3 linked regions of the Caenorhabditis elegans genome follow. The protein of the gene in region 3 purifies or fractionates together with the protein of the main gene of each other region. This does not show direct contact. Each region holds a gene or a part of one and is shown on either strand. Other genes may lie near its edges. The genes, in order: vgln-1, ddx-10 and hmg-3.

The links.
Region 1: the proteins of hmg-3 (region 3) and vgln-1 purify together in Caenorhabditis elegans (affinity purification with mass spectrometry, with the first as the bait; 2 studies listed by BioGRID). This does not show direct contact.
Region 2: the proteins of hmg-3 (region 3) and ddx-10 purify together in Caenorhabditis elegans (affinity purification with mass spectrometry, with the first as the bait; 2 studies listed by BioGRID). This does not show direct contact.

The regions. Positions count from the first base shown.
Region 1 is NC_003280.10:9,887,800-9,894,880, reverse strand, and holds the start of vgln-1 (K Homology domain-containing protein), read left to right. Parts: upstream 1-3,799; 5' UTR 3,800-3,939; coding exon 3,940-3,958; intron 3,959-4,004; coding exon 4,005-4,274; intron 4,275-4,321; coding exon 4,322-5,712; intron 5,713-5,761; coding exon 5,762-6,928; intron 6,929-6,978; coding exon 6,979-7,081. Other genes in the region: C08H9.16 (Protein FRA10AC1 homolog), read right to left, coding at 543-664, 1,168-1,399, 1,449-1,594, 1,642-2,092.
Region 2 is NC_003279.8:2,486,228-2,493,308, reverse strand, and holds the start of ddx-10 (ATP-dependent RNA helicase), read right to left. Parts: upstream 3,334-7,081; 5' UTR 3,326-3,333; coding exon 3,119-3,325; intron 3,073-3,118; coding exon 2,452-3,072; intron 702-2,451; coding exon 342-701; intron 1-341. Other genes in the region: eif-3.I (Eukaryotic translation initiation factor 3 subunit I), read right to left, coding at 3,810-3,868, 4,743-5,097, 6,068-6,501.
Region 3 is NC_003279.8:5,814,120-5,821,200, forward strand, and holds hmg-3 (FACT complex subunit ssrp1-B), read right to left. Parts: upstream 4,014-7,081; 5' UTR 4,007-4,013; coding exon 3,770-4,006; intron 3,699-3,769; coding exon 3,061-3,698; intron 2,973-3,060; coding exon 2,030-2,972; intron 1,892-2,029; coding exon 1,640-1,891; 3' UTR 1,490-1,639; downstream 1-1,489. Other genes in the region: Retinoblastoma-like protein homolog lin-35, read left to right, coding at 1-109, 170-294, 578-1,210; Nuclear hormone receptor family member nhr-2, read right to left, coding at 4,753-4,866, 4,985-5,506, 5,557-6,034, 6,606-6,800, 6,880-6,989. UniProt on the Caenorhabditis elegans protein: Component of the FACT complex, a general chromatin factor that acts to reorganize nucleosomes. The FACT complex is involved in multiple processes that require DNA as a template such as mRNA elongation, DNA replication and DNA repair.

The sequences.
Region 1 (7,081 bases), on a different chromosome or scaffold from region 3:
TTAGGAAATTCTATAGGAACTTCAATTTATATTTAGAAATAGTCGAGAGTCTGTACCTGTATGTTTGCTAAGAATTAACAAGCTTAATGAAAATAAAATGTATTTACTTTAAAATGTTGTTATTACATTATTATTTTTTCTATAAAGTAAAAAATAAATTCTAAAAAATGAAAGTTTTGCCAGGCAAGGGATACATAATCCCATGAATCGGTTGCAATGTAAAACGGATTTATTTCAGACTACAACTTCAATTTACTGATCTTTTGCACACTTGAAGCGGAATACTTTAAAATTAAATGAAAGAAATGTTGAAAGTAAAGAATGTTGAAACGCGTTGTTTGTTTTTATACCACCTATTAAATCATTTTGTCACAGAAAATCAAAAATAATTCGCGGAGGCCATTTAAATTTTATGCGCTCGTGTGGTACTTTGCACAAAGAGAACTCGAAGTTGACGCAAGTTTTTTCCCTTAAAAATGATTGTGATGTTGAACAAAAAGTCACAAAGTTATTGATAGGCATTTTATTATTATAATTATGAATTACAAAAAGAGATCATCCAAAAACTCGTCAATCTCGTCGTCGACGGTTTTCTCTGTTTCAGCAGGAGGCGGTCCTTCCCAAATATCAGTTGATGCAGACAGTGTGGACGTTGATGGTTGAACTGAAAAAAAAATGTTTTAGTATTTTGATGGTGAAGGTATAATTTTTATAATGGACGAAAATCGAGAGAACTTGAAAAAAGTCATTCTGGAAACTTTACAAAACTTTCAGTTTATTTCTTTAACTACTGTAGAGTTCCGCGAAATTGCTCAAAAATGAATTTTTGCAGACTAGACTAGATTTCAATTCCTAGGAAAAGGCGAAAATTCTGGAAGTTTTGTTTTAAATATATATTTCTGAAAACAATTTTTTACCAGAAACAACATTTTTCGCCCAAAATTTAAAAAAAAAGTTCGTTTTTTCAGACATATTGTTCATAATTTATGGATTTTCTAAAACATTTTGAAACATGAAATTTTCAAAACTTGTTTTGTGTTTAAGGTTTATCTCCTGATTACGGTACTTTTCTGACAAGAATTGAGGTTTCAACTTAAATTATAATTCTATGCAAATTTTAGTTTATTTTAGATTATTTTTAAAATTTTGTTTTAAATAATATTGCACCTTTGGTTTCTTGATTTTTCGCTTCATGTTGATTCAATTCTACGTCATCATCTTCTTCCTCATCCTTTTTAGTTCGTTTCCGTTCTTTTTCCCATTTCCGAACTGCTCGTTTCTTCTGAACAACTTGTCGTTTACGTGTTCCGTAGTTGAGCTTTTCCGAGCATTTTGGGCATAATCTCGCCTTCACCAGCGTACTTTTGACCCGATTGTCTTCCTTGTAAGTGAAGTTAACCTAAGATACTTTTATTTATTATTATAGAAATCTTTAAGGAAAATCTCACCTCCCAACTAGATAAATGAGCAGTTTCATTACATTTTCTTGCTCCACACGATAGTTGTCCTTTTCCTTCTTTTACTTCATTTTCAGTTCGCCATCGCATACCTATTTTGTTCGTTTTGTACATGGAGAGATCAACTATGCAATACTCTGAAATAAACAAACATTAATTTAGAATCATTAATCTCATATTTTACCTTTAAATAATTTATCGTAATATTTCTTCGCCATTCTCGTTTCCCATGAATTTTTATCAGGTTGTGAAGCGTTAATTTCATCGTCCTCACTCCAAACAAATCTGTGATGCTTTTTAAGGACATCCAGGTCAGTTGTTTCGTCTTGAATTTTCCGATTTAACAATTTCGTAGCTCCCGGGTATGAAAGATAATATAAATTGATCATTTCCTTATGTCGATCATACGCGTTCATAGACATCATTTTTGCCATTCTTCTATGCATTCTTCCGTGCTCTTCTTCAAAACCACCTCGTCCATCAGTCTTTCGCTTTTTCAGAATTTCACTCGAATAATCTTTATTCAAAAAATCTCCTTTTCTCTTCGGTTTAGAGCTACTTGAAGGCTCATCTCCAAAATCTGATTGTAAATCGTCAATTCCATGGTATGGGTTTCGAATTTTACGGGGATCCATTGAATATTTAACTGAAAAAACTTAAATTAATGCAAATGATATGTTTATAGCATTTTTGGTAATTATTTTCAATAATTTCCTAAATTAAAACGCCAAAAACATGTTTTAACCAATTAAAACACAAAAAACAAGTTTTAAAAAATTGACACAGCTGAAACGAGTGTTACCGTACCCCGACGCGTCTCCGAACCAGTTGCCACACTGCAAGTTCGTTTGCTCTGAAAAAACTTGTTTCTGGATATTTTTTTTGCATTTTTGCGATAATTTTAGATTTTATTTTTAAAATTCGTTATGATTATTCGGAATATCTGTGCATTGAAACCTTGTTTTAGGTCCCTTAGTCGTTGCGTCGTGAGTTTGAAAACCGTTTTTTCGATAGACATATTTTGTAGGCTTCTCCTTTCTAAAAAATCATTTTTTATCTTGTTTCACGCTATATGTTCTTTCTGAGAAAATCATAGTTAGAAACATGACAAAAAATTTATCCTGCGATGCGAATTAATTCTCGGTAAATGTCTAGGTTTTTCCCAATTTAAATTTGTCTTCTATGAATAAATTAATTGAAATCTAGGAGTATTAAATAAATGAGATTCCCGCGAGGAAACTTTTTTCAAACTCTAATCCTCAGTTGCCATGTTTGCAGTTTGTGACCCTCTCGTTTTCATTATTATTTTTATGATTGTTCTTGCCATACAACTCAACTCAGTCTATCACTGCCATCTTATCAGTAGTAGCCCGACATTTTTGTGGCTCGTTTTTCTATCTAACTGGTGTCCATCAATTGAATGTCAATAAGTTTTAAGGTGCAATTACGTGTATCTATCACTCAAAATTGGGTACATGATCCCTATCGCAGGCTAGTGGCGGTGCTAGCTGCGGCTGATTTTATCTATTTCATTTGAGGTGGATGGAAAAAGAAGATAGTTGATGGAACGGCCCTGACCTAGCAACTATAATCATCCTTCTTGCATTTCCCGATTAGCAATTTGTCAGATTTCTTATTTCTTAATAGTTGTTTCTTTCGCTCCTTCATTTAGTTCAAGTTTCTTTTTTTAGCGTTATTTTACAAAAATTATGAATAGCGTTCAATTCTGATTTCTTTCTGGTTTTAATAACCCTTTTCCGAATTCCTTAATGTTTTTGCCACACTTCTCGAGACGCTAGTGAAACTAGGGAACTTTAAAAAAAAAGAGCGGCACAAGACCAGCACCGCCACGTTGTCCATCGTTCAAGAAATGCAAGAGACGCAGAGAAAGAGTGTTCTACGTTCCAACGGGGAACTATGCGAGGAGGAACTATCCTACTGCCATCTTTACTGTGTAGTTGGCCGATTTGTGTATACGTGGTGTTTGCCCTGCGAGAGAGAGAAAGAGAGAGTCTGATCGTAATACGATTCGGCCCTGACCTATTGGGCTAAATTCATACCACTGCTTAGGATTTTCGACTTCGGTTTTCGAATATACCTTGCCTTTCAATGACAAAAATAATTTCGTGAATCATACCTTCTAGCTGTTCAGAACTCCTTTTGAAAAATACACGTCGACTTGCCTCTTCTTTAATAATACTAAAATAATAATTCTTAATTGTGGTCAGATTTCGATTCGTAAGCCTCGCAAAATTTCAATTTATCTTTTCCAATTCTCCTTTCTTCCTCTATCTTTTTTGCTCCATATGACTTTGAACAAATAGTTATCTTCTTTTTTGTAGGTATTGTTTGATTCGGACGGTTCTCGAGCCTAGTTCGGTCAACATCACAGGTCGCCTCAACAGACTCCCCCGATCGGATTAATTGCCTTGCGCACGGACCCCCGGACACGGATCAGCCAACCCTTCTGACAACACGAATTATGGACAACGGACATATTGGTTGGTTAAAATTAAAAAAATATATCTTCAAGTTTTTTTGTTTCAGAAGAGACTAATAATGTCGAAATCGACCCAGCCACTGGCGGAGCTGTCATGAGCTTCAGCTATGCTTCAGATTTCCCAACCCTTCCTGACGCTGCCCCTGCATCTGCTCCAACCGCCAAACAGACTCACGTCTGGTCTCGCCCGACTCTCTCGAAATCTGAAGTTAACATCACTTTCCGTTTGGCCTCGGACGAGCGTTCCAACAAGGTGAAGAGCTTTGGAAGCACGTCAGAAGAATCAAAGAAAGCCCAGGCTATTGCCACTGCTACTAGTGAGTTTTCCCAATTCCAACGAAAATCTAATCATCTCCGCTTTCAGAGACCAGAATTGAACTCAGTGAGTCAAAGGACGGAGAACTCACTGTCGTGGTGAAGGGAGAGCGCGCAAAGGCTGAAGAAGCTCGTGCTCGCATCATCCGCGATCTCCAAACCCAGGCATCTCGTGAAATCGATATCCCAAAAGATCATCACGGACGTCTCATTGGAAAGGAGGGAGCTCTTCTCAGAAATCTCGAGGCAGAAACTAATTGTAGAATTCAAATCCCAAATCGCGATGGACCATCGTCGAAGATCACTATCACTGGACCACGCGAGGGAATTCAACGTGCTGCTGCTCACATTTTGGCCGTTTCTGAGCGCGAAGCCAAACTCGCCACAGAGCATATCGTCTGCCCAAAAAATTTGGTTGCATTTGTTCGTGGCCCAAAAAATGAGACATATGATCGCCTTACTCAAAACAATGGTGTCAAAATTAACATTCCACCACCACACGTAACGAACGAAGTTATTTCGGTAACCGGAGAAAAGGATGGAGTTCTACGTGTTGCTGCTGAAATTCGCCAGATCATCGAGTCGAAGAAAAATGTTTCGAGCATTCAAGTTGCAGTTGCTCGCACCCAACATCGTTACATTGTTGGACAATCTCGAAGCGGAATTCATGATGTTCTTCAGAAAACAGGATGCGTTGTTGAAGTACCAGCAGAAGATTCGGGATCTGACCAAGTCACACTTATCGGAAACGCTCAAGATCTTGCCAAGGCTCTGGCTCTTGTCATTGAGCGTGCTTCATCTGTGGTCACCCAATCTATTTCTGCTCCAAACTGGCTCCACAAGCATTTGATCGGACCAAAAGGAGCAACTCTTACCGCTCTCGTGCCAAACCGCAATAACGTGCAGATCGAATTTGATAACTCTAACCAGATTTTCCTCGAGGGATCTCCAGAAGAAGTTAAGCTAGCTTTCGAGCCACTCAGCAAGGAAGTTGCTCGTCTTCAAATGGAGCTCGCTATCGAGAAAGTCAAAGTTCATCCAACACTTCATCGTCATGTTATTGGACGTGGTGGATCACTCATCTCAAAAATCAAGGATCAACATGGTGTTCAGATTACTATCCCTAACGAGGAAACCAACTCTGACGAGATTGTTGTTGAAGGAAAGAAGGAAGGTGTGAAGAAGGCTGTTACCGAAATTCGGGCAATTGTCACAAAGATTGAGAACGAAAAGTCGCGTGATATCATCATTCCACAACGTCTCCACAAGCTTATTATTGGATCGAAAGGCTCCGGAGTTCAAGTCATTCGCGATTCTCATCCAAATGTATCGGTTGTGTTCCCTGATGCCAAGTCGAAGTCTGACGTTGTTAACATCCGTGGAGACAAGACTGAGGTTGATGCTGTCTACAAGAAGCTCACCGCTCTTTCTAAGGAATATGTAAGTTGAAAACACATTATTAGACGATTTTAATGAATTTTCATTTCAGGCTGAGAACAACTACCAACAAACTGTTGCAATCTTCAAAGAGTTTTTGAAGCATATTGTCGGAAAGGGAGGAGCCAGCATTCGCAAGCTTCGTGACGAAACCGAGACCCGCATTGATCTCCCAGAGAGTGGATCTGACGATGGAAAAATCACTGTCACTGGAAAGCAAGCCAATGTGGAGAAAGCGGTCGCTCAGCTGAACAAAATTCAAGAGGAACTCGCCAACGTTGCTGAAGAAAGTATTGAAATTCCACAGAAAGTCCAATCTCGATTCTTTGGAAATGGACGTCGTTTGATCTCGGACATTGAGGACGAGTGCGGTGGAGTTCATATTCGTTTCCCATCAGAGAAAAGCGAATCAACCAAAGTTACCATCCGTGGACCTGCTGGAGATGTTGCAAAGGCTGTTGGACTTCTTTCTGCTCTTGCAAAGGACAAAGAAGAAAATTATGTTGAAGATACCGTCAAGGCTAAGCCAGAGTTTCATCGTTTCCTCATTGGAAAAGGTGGATCCAAGATTGCCAAACTCCGTGACACCCTCAACGTCAGAGTTATGTTCCCGAAGGAAGGAGATGCTGAGAAGGAGACGATCCATTTGCTCGGAAAGAAAGAAGACGTGCCAAAGGCTAAGGCTGCTCTTGAAGACGCTATCAAGCAACTTTCAGAGACTGTTGACATCAAGATTACTGTAGATCCAAAATACTACAAAAACTTCCTCGCCCGTGGAGCTGCACTCGTTAAGGAGATCCAGGAACAGAACGGTGGAGTAGTCATTTCATTCCCAAAGAATGGAACTGACAGCAGTGAAGTTTCTATCCGTGGATCGAAGCAATGTGTTGAGGCTGCGAAGAACCGTATTGAAGATGTCGTTGAGGACTACGAGAAACAGATCACAGACAATGTCACCATCCCAGCTCAGTTCCATCGGGGACTTCTTGCCGGACGCGGAGCAAAGATCCACGAGCTCCAGTCAAAGTACAATGTCTCCATTAGATTCCCCAACAATCGCGAGGAAGGCTCAGAAGGATCCGATCAAGTTACTGTGTCAGGCCGTGACACCAAAGTCGAGGAAGCCAAGGAGGCTCTTCTTGCCATGGTTCCTATCTCGAAAGTCATTCAACTTCCAGTTGACATGCACCGCTCGATTATTGGTCGTGGAGGAGAGACCGTTAGTTTTTTTAGTTTTTGAATCAAAGTTTAATGAGTTAAATGTTTCAGGTTCGCAAGCTTATGCAAGACTATGATGTCAACATCTCTATTCCAAAGGACAACTCCAGCGAGGATATCACCGTGACTGGTCAGACTGAAAATGTCGATCAAG
Region 2 (7,081 bases), 3.3 Mb from region 3:
CGAACAAATAAAAAAGAAGCAAAAAATCGCATAATTTTTATTTTTCAGGTCAAAAACCGGAAAAATTGTGACTAAAAAAGTAGGGCGAGTTTTTAAATTTTAATTGAAAAAAAAAATGCAAATTTTCTGATTTAAAATTGACTTCAAAATTGATAATATTATGATTTGAAAAAGTTCCAAAACCAGTTTTTGCAGATTTTCGCACCGAAAAATTAAAAAAAAAAGCTTATTTCACAATTTTGTGGCAAAAATCGTTGTTTTCCCTGAATTTTAATTTCTCTGAAAACTAAATACTTCGAAAAATACTAGAAATTATAGTTTTTTTTTCTATAATTTCTGACCTGAATAACCCAATCAATATGCTCAAAATCGAGTCCTCGAGACGCTACGTCTGTGGCAATGAGCACGGCGGCTTTGCTCTCGTCGAATTTCGTGAAAGTCTCGATTCGTTTCTTCTGATTCATCGTTCCCCATAGACCCATCACCGGGAGCCCGGGACGGAGCTGTGAGAAGGCTTCAGTCAGGAATCGAGCCTGCTTGCAACTGCTCACGAAAACCAGCGATTTTTTTTTTCGGTGGGCTTCGATGAATGACCAAAGAGCGTTGATTTTGTGCTCTTCTTCCACGATTACGTACGATTGTTTGAGGTTGTCTGGAGTGGCTGCTGACGCGTTTTCGTGTACGGAGACGAAGACGGGGTCCTGAAAAATTGGCAATTTAGGTAAAATCGCGTAAAAATTCTGAAAATTTCAGTGAAATTCAGGCAAGATTAGCTAGATTCTTCAAAAAATTCTTAATTTTCTACGTGGATTTTTCTGAAATTTCGTTTTTTTTTTAATATTAAAATTTTTAATTAATTAATTTAATATAATTAAATTTAAATTAATTTTAACCTATAATTTCTAGTATATTTTAAAATTATAAATTTTCAGAGAAATTTTTCGAAAAATTCAGCTTTTTCCACTTTTTTTTTTGGATTTTTCTATTTCCAAAATTCCAAAATTTTTGGTTTTAAATCGTTTAAATCAAATTTTTATTTTCACAAATGTCGAAAATTTGCCATTTTTTGGGAAATCGCGTAAAAAATCTGAAAATTTCAGTGAAATTCAGGGAAAATTCAGCTTTCATCAGTGGATTTTTCAAAAAATTCAGAATTTTCTACATGGATTTTTCTGAAATTTTGTTTTTTTTTTTTAAATTAAAATTGTAAATTAATATAACTTAATTTAAATTAATTTTAAACTAAATTAAATTAAAGATTGATTGAATCTGAAAAACTATACTTTTTCAGTGAAATTCAGCGAAAATTAGCTAGATTTATCAAAAAATTCCTTTGGATTTTTCTGTTTCCAAAATTCTAAAAATGCGATTAATTACCCAAAATCCGAATTTTTTGGTTTTAAATCATTAAAATAAAAGTGTTTTTTTGATGTTTCAAAAACATTTATTCTCAAATTTTAACACTTAAAAAATCTAAAAACTAATTTTTCCTTGCCTTTAAACTCAATTTTCTAAGATAATAACTCGAAAAATGAAAGAAAACGGCTGAATTTTCGAAAATTAGCTTGAAAATCGTCCAAAAATCTTATAAAATTATCTTTTTCGATTAAAAAAGATCGGCTTTTTTGCGACAAAAATGCTGTGATAAGCTTCTCTTTTCACTTTTTCTGTATGAAATTCTGCAAAAACTTGCCAATTTTATGTCAGAAAAATTGTATTTCAGCCGGAGAGACCAAAATTGGTCCAAAGTACGGTACCCGGTCTCGACACGACAATTTTTTGGTAAATACAAACGGGTGTGCGTCTTTAAGCGATTACTGTAATTCCAAATTTTCGTTGCAGCATGGAATTTTCTTTTTTTTTCGGTTAAAATTTGAGTTTCATCTCAATTTTTTAATCAACAAAAATATAAATTCCACTCCACTACAACAAAAATTCAAAGTTACAGTACTCTTTAAAGGCGCACAGCCATTTGTATTGAACAAAAATTGTCGTGTCGAGACCGGATACCGTATTTTATGGCCAATTTTGGTATTTTGGTGTGAAATACCAATTTTCTGACTTAAAATTGACCAGTTTTTGCAGATTTTCATATCAAAAAAGTAAAAAGAGAAGCTTATCACCGCATTTTTGTCGCAAAAGAGCCGAACTTTTAAATTTTAATCGAAAAAAGTCATTTTAGAAGTTTTTTGGACGAATTTCATGCAAATTTTTGAAAATTGAGAGTTATTTTCCAAGAAAATTGAGTTTTAAGGCACGGAAAAATTAGTTTCTGGATTTTTTTTAGTGTTAAAATTTGAGAATAAATTTTTAAGCAAAAATTGAGATTTTGGGAAATTAATCGAATTCTTAGACGTGGAAAACGTGTTTAAATTGCCGATTTTTCCGTGTTCCTATTCAATTAATGAACCATTCCGGAATTATTTCAATTTTCCGGGCGAAATCCCTCACATTTGTGCAAACTCTGCACAAATCCTTGACATTTCGTGTCTGAGTAGCCGAAAAGAGCAGCGTCTGACGTTCCGCGGGCAAATTATTAATGATCGAGTTGAGCTGCTTCGAGAATCCCATATCAAGCATTCGATCCGCCTCGTCGAGCACCAAAACTTGAAGCGAATCACAGCTCATTTGAGCATTCTCATCCATGTGTTGTAGGAGACGTCCCGGTGTGCAAACGATGATATTAATCCCGCTGATGCGATTTCTCTCGAATGCCACGTCACTTCCGCCGATAACCAAGCCACACGAGAATCCGTGATGGGCTCCGACGGCGTTAATTGTGCTAAATGTCTGAAGAGCCAGCTCTCGTGTCGGTGAAATGATTAGCGCTCCGAGACCATAGTCTGGAGACCATTTTGCTCGCCAAAGAGCCTCCAGCACGGGGATCACCAGTGCCAGAGTCTTTCCGCTGCCGGTTTTTGCGGCTCCGACGACATCTGAGCCGGTCAGAGAGTAGGCAATCGTGTCCCGTTGGATTTCTGTGGGTTTTGTGTAGTCATTATCCTTGAGACCCTCCAGTGTCCTCCAGGAGAGCGGGAAATCCTCGAAGCGGAGAAATGTGCGGGAGCTTTTCTGGAAAAATCGATTTTTTAATAAAAAAACTATTTTTTAGAGCTACCTTGAGCATTTCCTGATATTTCTGCTCAACTTCGTCGAGCATTGTCTCCTCCTGTCCCTTTAAATCCTGTTTTCTCTTTTTCAGAAGCCGCTTCTCCTTCAACGCTTTTCTGACACTTGGATCCTGCTCGCCATCGAAATTTCGTTTTCTTTTATTATTTCCAGCCCATTTCTGTGCTCCGCCGCCTTTTCCGTTTGTGTGAGGCATTGAAAACGCTGAAAATTGGGTAAAAATATTTAAAAATTGCAGGAAAAATCGTGCGCGGCAGTTGCGAAAAAAGCGTGCCAGGGTTGCATTCTGACTCCGCCCACAATTTTTCTTAATTTTTAATTGAGAAAAAATTAATTTTTTTTAAAAATATAATAATTGGAGATTAAAACCAAGAAATTCGAGGGAATAGATCAATTTTAACTCAAAATAATATTTATTTATGAAAAAAAAAACAATTAAAAGCCACCGAAAATTGATCTTAAATATGGAAAAAATGGAAAAAACAGAAAATCACCACCGCGTAATTTTAGAATTTGATAAATTTTAAAGGTTTTCCGAACTGCATAGGCTTAAATTCGTCATTTAAACTCTAAAATTAGGCGGTTTTCAACAGGAACGAGTAGGAAAAAGGGGGAAACGGTCTTTTTTTGGCAAATACGATCGCCCGGGAAACAGGAAGAAAACGAAAACGTAGAACAAATTAAAAATCGTAGGTGAAGCCGAGGTAGTCCTCGTCGAACTCTTGAATTCTGATGTAACCTGGAAAAAAATCAATAATTTTTGAATTTTTATATGAAAAATCCTCAAATCGCACTGCAACTTTTTTTTGAACGAGGGACGAGGAAATGCGGTTTCTAGGCCATGGCCGAGGATCCGACAAGATTTATCGGCAATTTATCTTGCAATGTTTTCCGCGAGTTTTCTTTTATTTTTCACCGATTTTTCCCCCGTTTTTTTCTTATTAAAACTGATAAATAAATTTTTTTAAAACCAGATGCTAAAATAATTTCCAAGTGAAAAAAATTGTGAATTCAGCCGGCAAGTAGCGGTGAAAGTGGTCAATGTAATATGATGGATTACGGGAATACTAAACACTAAACTTTTTTCGAAACATGATACATATGCTGCTTAGAGGCTGAAACTACCTGATTTTAATAACGAGACCGCTGAAAAAGTTTTTTGAGATTTTCAAAATTCAACATTTTGTGGAAAAATCTCGACTTTTTCGCCAAAAAGGTTGAATTTTGAAAATCTCAAAACTTTTTCAGCGGTCTCGTTATTAAAATCAGGTAGTTTCAGCATCTAAGCAGCATTTATAGCATGTTTTGGAAGAAAGTTTAGGTTTAGTATTCCCGTAATCCATCATATTACATTGACCACTTCCACCGCTACTTGCCGGCTGAATTCACAATTTTTTCACTTGAAAATTATTTTAGCATCTGCAAAAACAATATTTCTTCATCAGTTTTAATAAGAAAAAACGGGGGAAACATCGGTGAAAAATAAAAGAAAAAACGCGGAAAACAAAGCAAGATAAATTGCTGATAAATCTTGTCGGATCCTCGGTCATGGCCTAGAAACCGCATTTCCTCGTCCCTCGTTCAAAAAAAAAGTTGCAGTGGAATCCCCATACCGTCTTCTCCTCCAGTCGCGATAATTGTGCCCGATGGATGCCAGGCCATCGTGTTAATCGGTCCGAAATGTCCCTTGAATCTGGCGAATTCCTCTTCGAACACCATATGATAGATCTTGGCTTCAAAGTGTCCAGCAGAGACAGACGTCTGTGTGACCTGCATCGCGTCTTCTCCTCCTCCAAGGCAAATGTGATCGCGATTCGGTGAGATGCATGCCGAGTTGACGGGACGCTCGGATTTGTATTGTTTCAGCTTTTTCAGATCGTTCACGTCGAGCAGGGCGGCCGTCTTGTCGCGTGAAGCGGAGATCAGGAAATCGCCGCGTGGTGATAGTTGGAGATCTTGGACGCTGTACTGAAATTTTGGGAAATTTTTTTTTTGAAATTATTTTAGAAATCACGGAGGCACCACGGATTAAAGATCTCGTCGAATTCCGGATCTGGCACCGTGCCAACTGCAGTTTTCGCAGTTTTCTCGAAGAAAAATGTGGTTTTTTTTTAAATTTTCTTCAGGAAAAACGCTAAACAACACGCGATGCGTAACATCGGAGCATCGTTGTCAGGATTTTTTCCAGAAAAATTGCGTTAATTTTTTTTGAGTTGGTACGGTGCCAGATCCGGAATTCCACAAGATCTTGAATTTCGTGGAGCCTCGGTCTTATAATCATTGGAGCGCGCTTGCTGACACCTCACGAACTCCCGAATTCGCGGAATTTTGTTTCCACGGGAAATAAGGTTTTTTTGCTAATTTTGGTTTCTATGGAAATTAATATAAATTTTTGATGGATATTGTTGTTGGGAAGCTTTATACGACTCGAAAACGCGTAAAATTTAAGGTTTTACATCAAAAATCGGGAGTTTTTTGATTTCAGAATTTTAAAATATACATTTTTTGTAGAGAAAAATACAGTTTTAATTGATTTAATTGGTTTTTTCATTGAAAAAAATTAGAATAATCAAAATAATCAATCACTGCCGGATTTTGCTGCTTTTTCTCTTCAAAATGAGATTTTCACGGCTTTCAAATCGAAAAAACTGCCGATTTTGTTCCATTTTTCGAGAAAACTAAATTATTTCTTCGAATTTTTGGTTTTAATCTTGTGTGCGGAGTCAGGATGCAACCCTGGCACGCCTTCTTCGCAACTGTGCCGCGCACGGTTTTTTAATGCGAAATTTCGCCAATTTTCCAAATTGTACACACTTTCGGCTCTAATAATGTTTCCCCACAACAATAAAAACCAAAAATTAGCAATAAAATTTCCGCCAATTCAGGAGATCGTAAAGTGTCAGCAAGCGCTCCAGAGAACAACGAAAAAATGACGAACACGATGAACACTCTCGTTAGTGTGAATTGGTGTATCCGGATTTCTCAAATCGTACTGCTGAAGGAGTCCAGACTCGAATCCGATCGTCACGAGGTCATCCATCTGAGTGAAAAGTGCGGTCGTGGCGTTCACATCGAATTGTGAGTAGAAGAATGACTCTCCACCCTCAACCATTTGACTTGAATCACGAAGATCTCGGACTTGGAACGTCGAGAGATTCTTTGTCATCTTTTGTGTGGTGAAGCACACCAAATTTCCTGAATACGAGAATCCGCACGACTTCATCGGAGTCTGATGGTTGATTGTGTAGAGGCAGTTGCCGAGCTCGGCATCCCAAATCTTCACGGTGAGGTCTCCGGACGCGGTGACACACTTGGTAGTGTCCCATGAGACGTCGATATCCCACACGGCTCCGTTATGCCCGTCGTAGCTACCTGAAAAGAAAAATAATAAATAAATATATTTAAAAGGTGGAGTAGCGTCAGTGGGAAAATTGCTTTAAAACATGCATATGGTACCACAGTGACCGAATATCATGATTAAAAATTTCAAAAAAATTTTCTAAATTTTATATGATTTTTTGAAAAATTGAAAAAAATCTCAGTTTTTGCCTAATTCCAATTTTAATTACCGCCAATTGGATTTGTTCGATGGAGCGCGCTTGCACGTTTTAAAATTTATTTATTTTATTTTTTGTTATTTTCCAACGATTTTTAATGTTTTCGATGTATTTTTGCTTGAATTTTAGAGAAAAAGTCAAAATAATTGCAAATTTTCGATTAAAAAGCACGCTTAGAGGCGTAAAAAATGAAAAGTAACGCTTTTAAACGATTTCGAACCTGAATTAATAAATTTCACTGATTTACGCCTGTAAGCGTGCTTTTTAATTGAAAATTTGCAATTCTTTTGACTTTTTCTCTAAAATTCAAGCAAAAATACACCGAAAACATTAAAAATCGGTGGAAAATAACAATAAATAAAATAAATAAATTTAAAAACGTGCAAGCGCGCTCC
Region 3 (7,081 bases):
ACTGTAATTGAGTATTTTTCGTGGAAGTCTGATAGTCCATTATGGCCAATGGTTGTCAGGTGTCCATTTGCACATTTTCAAGAATTCGGAGAGGATTGGGCTGATAAATGTTAGTTTTTTAAAAATATTTATTTGGAGAAGTATAGATTTTCATTCATAAATATTGCAGTAAACTCGTACTCACCAATAAAATTCACTCCAATCAAGAAGCCTGATGATCTACGAGACGAACTTGGAAGACCTATAGTTCCTCAAAATCAAACTTCAAGAACTCTAAGAATTTTTTTGAAAAGAGTAAGTTTAAATGATTCATCTATAAATGGTTGGAGTCGAGGGTGTCGTCGAAAAAAATTTTTTTTTGGAAAAAATCAGACAATTGGTAAACAATTCCAAAATGTTTTGCCACAATTTTTTTGATTCGGATTCAAAAACAGTCACAATTTTTTGACAAAATCGTCATTTTTCGGTCTTTTTCTTGAACTCAAAAAAACGAAACAATTTCGATTTTCTAAAAAACCGGCACCCTTGATTGGATTAGTCTAACATTTATTTCAATTTTGCAAAATCCATTATTCAGACTTATTTCACCGCCGCTCGTCGACTTCAAGATCTCACTGATCGTGTTTCAATGGGAGCTCGTGCAAAATCACAATGCTGGTCACTTTTCGATTATCTTCTTCGCAATGACACTTTGATTTTTATGGATAGACATCTTGATCAAATTCTTCTTTGTTGCGTGTTTGTCATTATGAAGATAAATGAGTCATCAATGCTTTTCACGGAAATAATGGCTCAATATCGACGACAATCAGCCAATTCTTTGCTGGTCTACCGAAGTGTTACAGTATTCCAAGAACAACTGAATCCCGAAAATCCACAGGCAGTAAACACGAAGGAGACAATTTTGGAACGTCTTGAAGGTCCACAAAAAGAAAAAACGACAGTTGATATAATCAAATATTATAATATCGAGTTTCGGGATCGTATCAAGTATATTATCGGTCAAATTGATAGTGCTTCAGATGAAGATTTGATGGAAATGCCGGTTGCAACAGAATCTGGATTGATGCCTGTTCGAGTTTATTTAACACATAAATTATCGATTCAAACGCTTCCAAAAACGAAACACGGAGAGTCGAAACAAGAAAGAGCTATTGCGAACCTTGAAAAATCTGGAATTACGATCGCTATGGAACGGTCTGGAGATTAAAAATGATTGTTGTGAATACTTTGAACTTTTTAATGCATTTTTGATTAATCATTTAGTACTTCTTTTCTCGTCTATTTTTTTATCTTTTCCTTCAAATTCAGGCAAGTAATTATACTTTCCATTTCTAATTGATTGCTTCAAAATAGACGTCTAGTTATATTCAAAACAATCCCCCTTTTGAATTGGAATCTTCAAATATCGTATTAAATATTAATATTGTAATCATTTTTCACAATCCCCCATGCCATTATTGTTACTGATTTTTTCTCTCTTTTTAACCATCATCGATAAATTCATTTTACAGTTATAATTGAAATTAATGGGAATCCAATATAAAATGGGTAAATGATTGGAAAGAGGATGAAAGAGATCTATGAAAGTAAGAAGGAAGGCGAATAAAAAGCAACAATAAAATATTTAGTCAGAAAATCAATCCGATTCACCAGAAGACTCGGAGGCAGCATCGGATTCGTCTTTCTTCGCCTTTAGCGGCTCATCGTCATCGGAATCATCCGTATCACTGATATGCTCCTTAGACTTGAACTGTTTACCCGGAGATTGATCGGAGCTTTTCTTCGTGGATGGTCCAGATGCTTTCTCTACTCCTCCACCATTCTTCTTGTATTCTTTCATTTCCGCTTCGTATCTTGCCTTGTCCTGTGCAGCCTTATCGTTCCATTCCTGAATAAAAATAATTACTAACGGGATAAAACAAAACATTTTTAATGGCTCTAAAAGTGATTGAATTTTTTAGATTCGAAAATCATGGTTTTTTCTAAAATTAAAAGAGTTTTTGATTTGAAAAGTCTATAAAAATACCTTTTTATCATCCGCACTCATGGACTTCCACTTTGCTCCGGCTTTTTTAGCAACATCTCCGAGTGTATCCCCATCTTCTTTCATTGAATTACGATTGGCATTGAACCAGATGATATATGCAGTGGTTGCTCGTTTCGGCTCATTTGGATCTTTAGTTTTCTTTCCTTTCTTCACAGCTTTCTCCTTTACCGGCTTCTCTTTCTTCTCGCGTTTATTCTTCTTTTCTTTACTCTCCTTCTTTTTTGGTTCAATATTCTCTTCATCTGGATCAGATTCTCCAGTTCCTGAAGCATCTTTCTCTGAGCCAGAATCATATTCATCGTCAGGTTCACTTCCAGAACCTTCTGATGAGTCTTTGTCATTCTTCTGCTTCTTCATATCCTTATCCAAATCATAATCCTCATCAGTACTTTCATCATCGCTGTCATCATCTTGTTCACGACCCTCTGCTTTCACAGTTGACTTGTATGGATCGATATCATCTTCATCGCTGCTTCCATAACCAGCTGATTTGTTATCGATACGATGAGAATTGCGAATTTTGATCTCTTTCTTGTTTAGATAGTCGAATAGTTTGTTGTTCTCTTCTTTATCCATTGCACTGAAAGTCAACGATGATCCAGTTTTCAGATCAATCTCAAAATCAAAAGTTCTTGTTACAGTTCCGCTATCAGAACGTGCGAAATGACATGAGCTAATCTCTTCAAAGCGAATGTACATGACCGGCTTTTGAATAAACAAAAATCCCTTTTCCATTGGGTACAACAATCCAAGGTTCTGACGATGTGTACATTGTATGGCAGGAGTGCCCGAACTTCCGAGGAATCGTCCAGGAACGGTGACTTTCAGATTGCAAATTGATTTGAAGAGAATTGAGATTGTCTCATAGATTGGTCCAGTCATTTCACGTTGAAGATTTCCATTGAAATAGTCGAGTTGTTCACTGAAATACTCTCAAATTATTGGACGGCAATATAAAATATATTTGAGTGGCACGGAATTGTTCCCAGAAAATTCTGAAATAAACTCACTCAGTCAACGACAACTCCAAATCTTCTTCTTCATCCTTCCCAAACTCGAAAATGAGATAACTGTAGTGTGTCTGTCCCTGGCGAATGGGTGGGTTCAACGACAACACAAAATATACTTGGCGTCCATCTTTATGAGGAACCAAGAATAGACGATTGATCGTTTTGACAGGAATCTTGTAATCGTACGTCTTTCCGTGGAGTGCAATACTTGTCGGATAAACTTTAATATCATATCTTCCACGAGGTGTTGTGCACAGAATATCAGTGAGAAGGCATATTGGTTGCTCAGTTTCAGCCTCCAATCCAGCATATGCCAGCACTGCTTTCTTGAATTCTTCTACTTTATCAGTATCCTCCTCATTTTCTAGATCAACTGGCATATGGAATCTCATCTCCATCAGCTGAACTTTGCTTTGTTCATTCTGATGGAACTCCAAAATAGCCTCATTTTTGTTGGCAATGACGTTTGACACATTCGTGCACGGAATTTCGAAAATCGGTTCATTTTCCCATGAAAATTCAATATTTTTGCCTTTGACATCGGCCTGCCCATAGTTCCATCCATTGATGAAAAGATTTGATTGATTGATAGATTTAGACCAGTTAGAAGAAGTGAACGATTGGATTTTCTGAAGATCCTGAAATTTCGAATTTGAATAAAATGAGACTACAAACGTATAAAAATAAAGAAAACGAACAACAAACTAACATCATCCAAGAATCCTCCGAAGCGGTGAGCACCTCCATCACTAAGACCAACGCGTAGTCCCGGCTTGTTGCCAAGCTTTTGCCATTTCAGTTTATCGACGTCGGTTCCTGTGATGTAAACTGATTTTCCACCCTTATCGCCTATGAAGTTAATCGAATTTTCAGTCAATGTAAGCGTTCCGCATGTTAAATGGCCTATATCCTCCACGTAAACTCCCTTGAATTTGAGCTCAGTCATTCTGAAACTTGTCAGTCAATAACGCGTGTAAAGAAAAGAAGCGAAAAACGTCCGCGAACAAGAAAAGTCCGGAAAAGAATGAAAAAAATGAATTCTCGAAAAATGCACTCTAATTTTTTCGCGCGTCGAACCGAAAACAAAGAACTACGGTAGTCGATCATACGTGAACACCGAAGTATACTGTATACGCAAGCACCGCATCTGACGACCGTTTCTATTAATTTTATTATTTTTTTAATAATTGACTAATTTTGACAAATAAATTGACAAATTACTATTACGACAAATTACGACAAATAACGGTAAAAGTTGTGGCACGTCAAATTTTTTCCTGCATACAAAATAGTTAAATTATCAAATAATATTTATTTCATCTTTTCAACAACCAAGAAGCAGTACCAAATATATTAAGTTTTTAACAAACTTCAAATAATATAATTTTTGGTACTGTAACAGCCTAACAAACAACATCAATTGGAAATTCAAAAAGAAACAGTATATAGCCCGAACGAGAGAGTGAGATAGAGAATTAAATTCACACCTGGAGGAAGAGATCAGTAAGAAATGATCAGACTTTGAGAACATGAATAGAAAATGATAGTAACGGGGGAAGGGGACTTTAAACAAGTATTTTGAATCTATATTGATTCATAAGACAGGAATAAAGTTTTGTGAGAATTCAGAACCGGTTGGAAGCGTGTCCAGACACCGAATCGGTTCTGAATTTATCAGAAGTAATATATTTGTTATTGATTGAGATACGGTCCCAATCTCATGAGCAATCGATCGCAGAGTCCTATCTCTTGTAGATGTGTTTGAGACAGTTGATGGCGTAATCCTTGACAATAACTCGTAAAAATCTGAAAAAGGTTAACTTTCTTGGCGCAATATTTACTTTCTTGAGTGTTATGGTAGGGATTAATTGTGTCATTTGGGAATATTCCGACAATTTTGGCATTATGCCAAACAATTACTTACCTCAGCGACACCTCCATTGACTATTTGAAGTATATGAATTCCAGAGAGAAGTGCAACTTCACAATCATTGAATACTGTATTACGAATGCCGCCACGAAGCAAATTTACTGGATTCTCACAGGAATAGAAAGTGATTGGATCAAATGTGAAAGCCGCACGAATAGCCAAGATACCACTCATCACTTTTTGAATACTCATTTCAAGTGCTTTTTCATCTTTTGGCAAAAGTGAGCTCAAAGCTGGAACTGATTCAATAAATTTCTTAATTGCTCCAATAGCATGAGTTCCCGATGTTAAGTGAGTAGAGCATGGCATGTTTGCAACAAAGGCGGCCGTAAGCTCTTTCACTTGTGATGTCATCTCAAAATTGGGCGAAGCCACTGATGGTTTAACATCTTTATCAGTTTCTTTGTTCACTCGAACGTTGTCACGATTCATTCCAACTGCGAGGCATTTGGCAAATCGACAAGCTTGACAACGAGTACGTACTCCACGATTTGCCGCACAATTTTCATATGAGAACTGAAAAATATAATAGCATATTTTTGAAATGCTTGTCTAATTAAACTCACTGTGCAATTTTCTCCTTTGGTACAAACATATGCGATATTCTTGTGAACACTTCTTCTGAAAAATCCCTTGCATCCTTCACAACTCTGTACTCCATAATGATATCCAGTAGAGTTATCACCACAAACCATACATCTATCCTTTTTAAAGAACTCACTCCAAGCATTCATTGTGAGATTATAGTTTGAAAAGTCTGGAGCAAACTGTGGCATTTGTGGAACTACTGTCATTGGTGTGTTAGTACGGTCATATGGAGTACCACGTGGCTTTTTTGTTGAAGCAGATGACGCTGGGAATGTGTTACGACGAACAGAACTGTTCTCTTTATCATCGGCTTCATTTCCGTTGTCTGGAGAACTTTGAGTCGAAGAAAGAATATTATTAATTGCATATGGTGAGATTTCTTCTTTTTCTGGTTTTGCTTGTTGAAGTGGAGTCAATTGCATTTGTGGCTGATTATGGTAGTTTGGAGTGGTTGCGCTGAAAAATTGAATTTAACGTTTTTACTATAGAAAGGATAAAGTAATCTTCCAGTCATCGTTGCCTTATTTATTAATTTAGTAACTCGCTGAAACGTAGAATTCCCTCGGCATACTGTACAACCGTGTTCTCAAATTCCGCTAAATCTGACTCTATTGTTCTCACCTAATCTCTTTGTACAACATCTTAAAATATTTTTTGTTGCATCTAACCGCTCTTTGTTCTAATTAGGTGTGAATTGGTAAAAATTACATCAACTTGAAATCACTAACTGAATTTTCAAATCCCACTTCCAACCTTGCCAGTTGAAAGAGATTCCCGTTTAGATGTCTTGAATCCTGCCAATAGGATTCAATATGATTCATCATTAGGAGGTAACATCTGCCACGTCATCAATACAGTCCCCCATCTGCCCCCTCTTCTGACCTGTCACTCTCTTACCCAGTTGCCACGTCACAAGGTGACCTGTTTCTACGTATTGCGTGAAACAAATTGGACCATAAAGTAGAGACCGCCCAAACACTCAAACATTGCGCAACTCTTCTTTTTACCGCGCAGAAGAAATACATACCTGTTCTGTGAAGTGAGTGGTGGAGAGATTGTGTCATTTCCCGAATCTCTGTCCGAAATCTGGCTCAGCGGTGATGTGGCATTTGGAGTGACTGTATTTTTAGATTGTGGTGGCATGTAGGTTGAGTTTGTTGCTGTTCCTGGAACCATTTGCTGCATTTGCATTTGCATACACAGAAGCATTTCTGGGGTCCATCTGAAAGTGAGAATTGGTGTTTTGTAATAATTCGAATGCACGAAAAGTTATGACTGGATACAGAAATATAAAAACTTACTGTGCCGGATTCTGTAAATATGACTGTTGATATGCATTTATCATTGGATAGCCTGGCATCATATGTGGTTGATTTGGATAATGCATCAATTCTGGATTCATTGGAACCATCTGAAAACTAGAAAAGAAATAGAGATAGAAAAATAATAAGAGTTAATAAATTGAAAAAAAGAGTATACTATGAAATAGTGTACAATTCAACA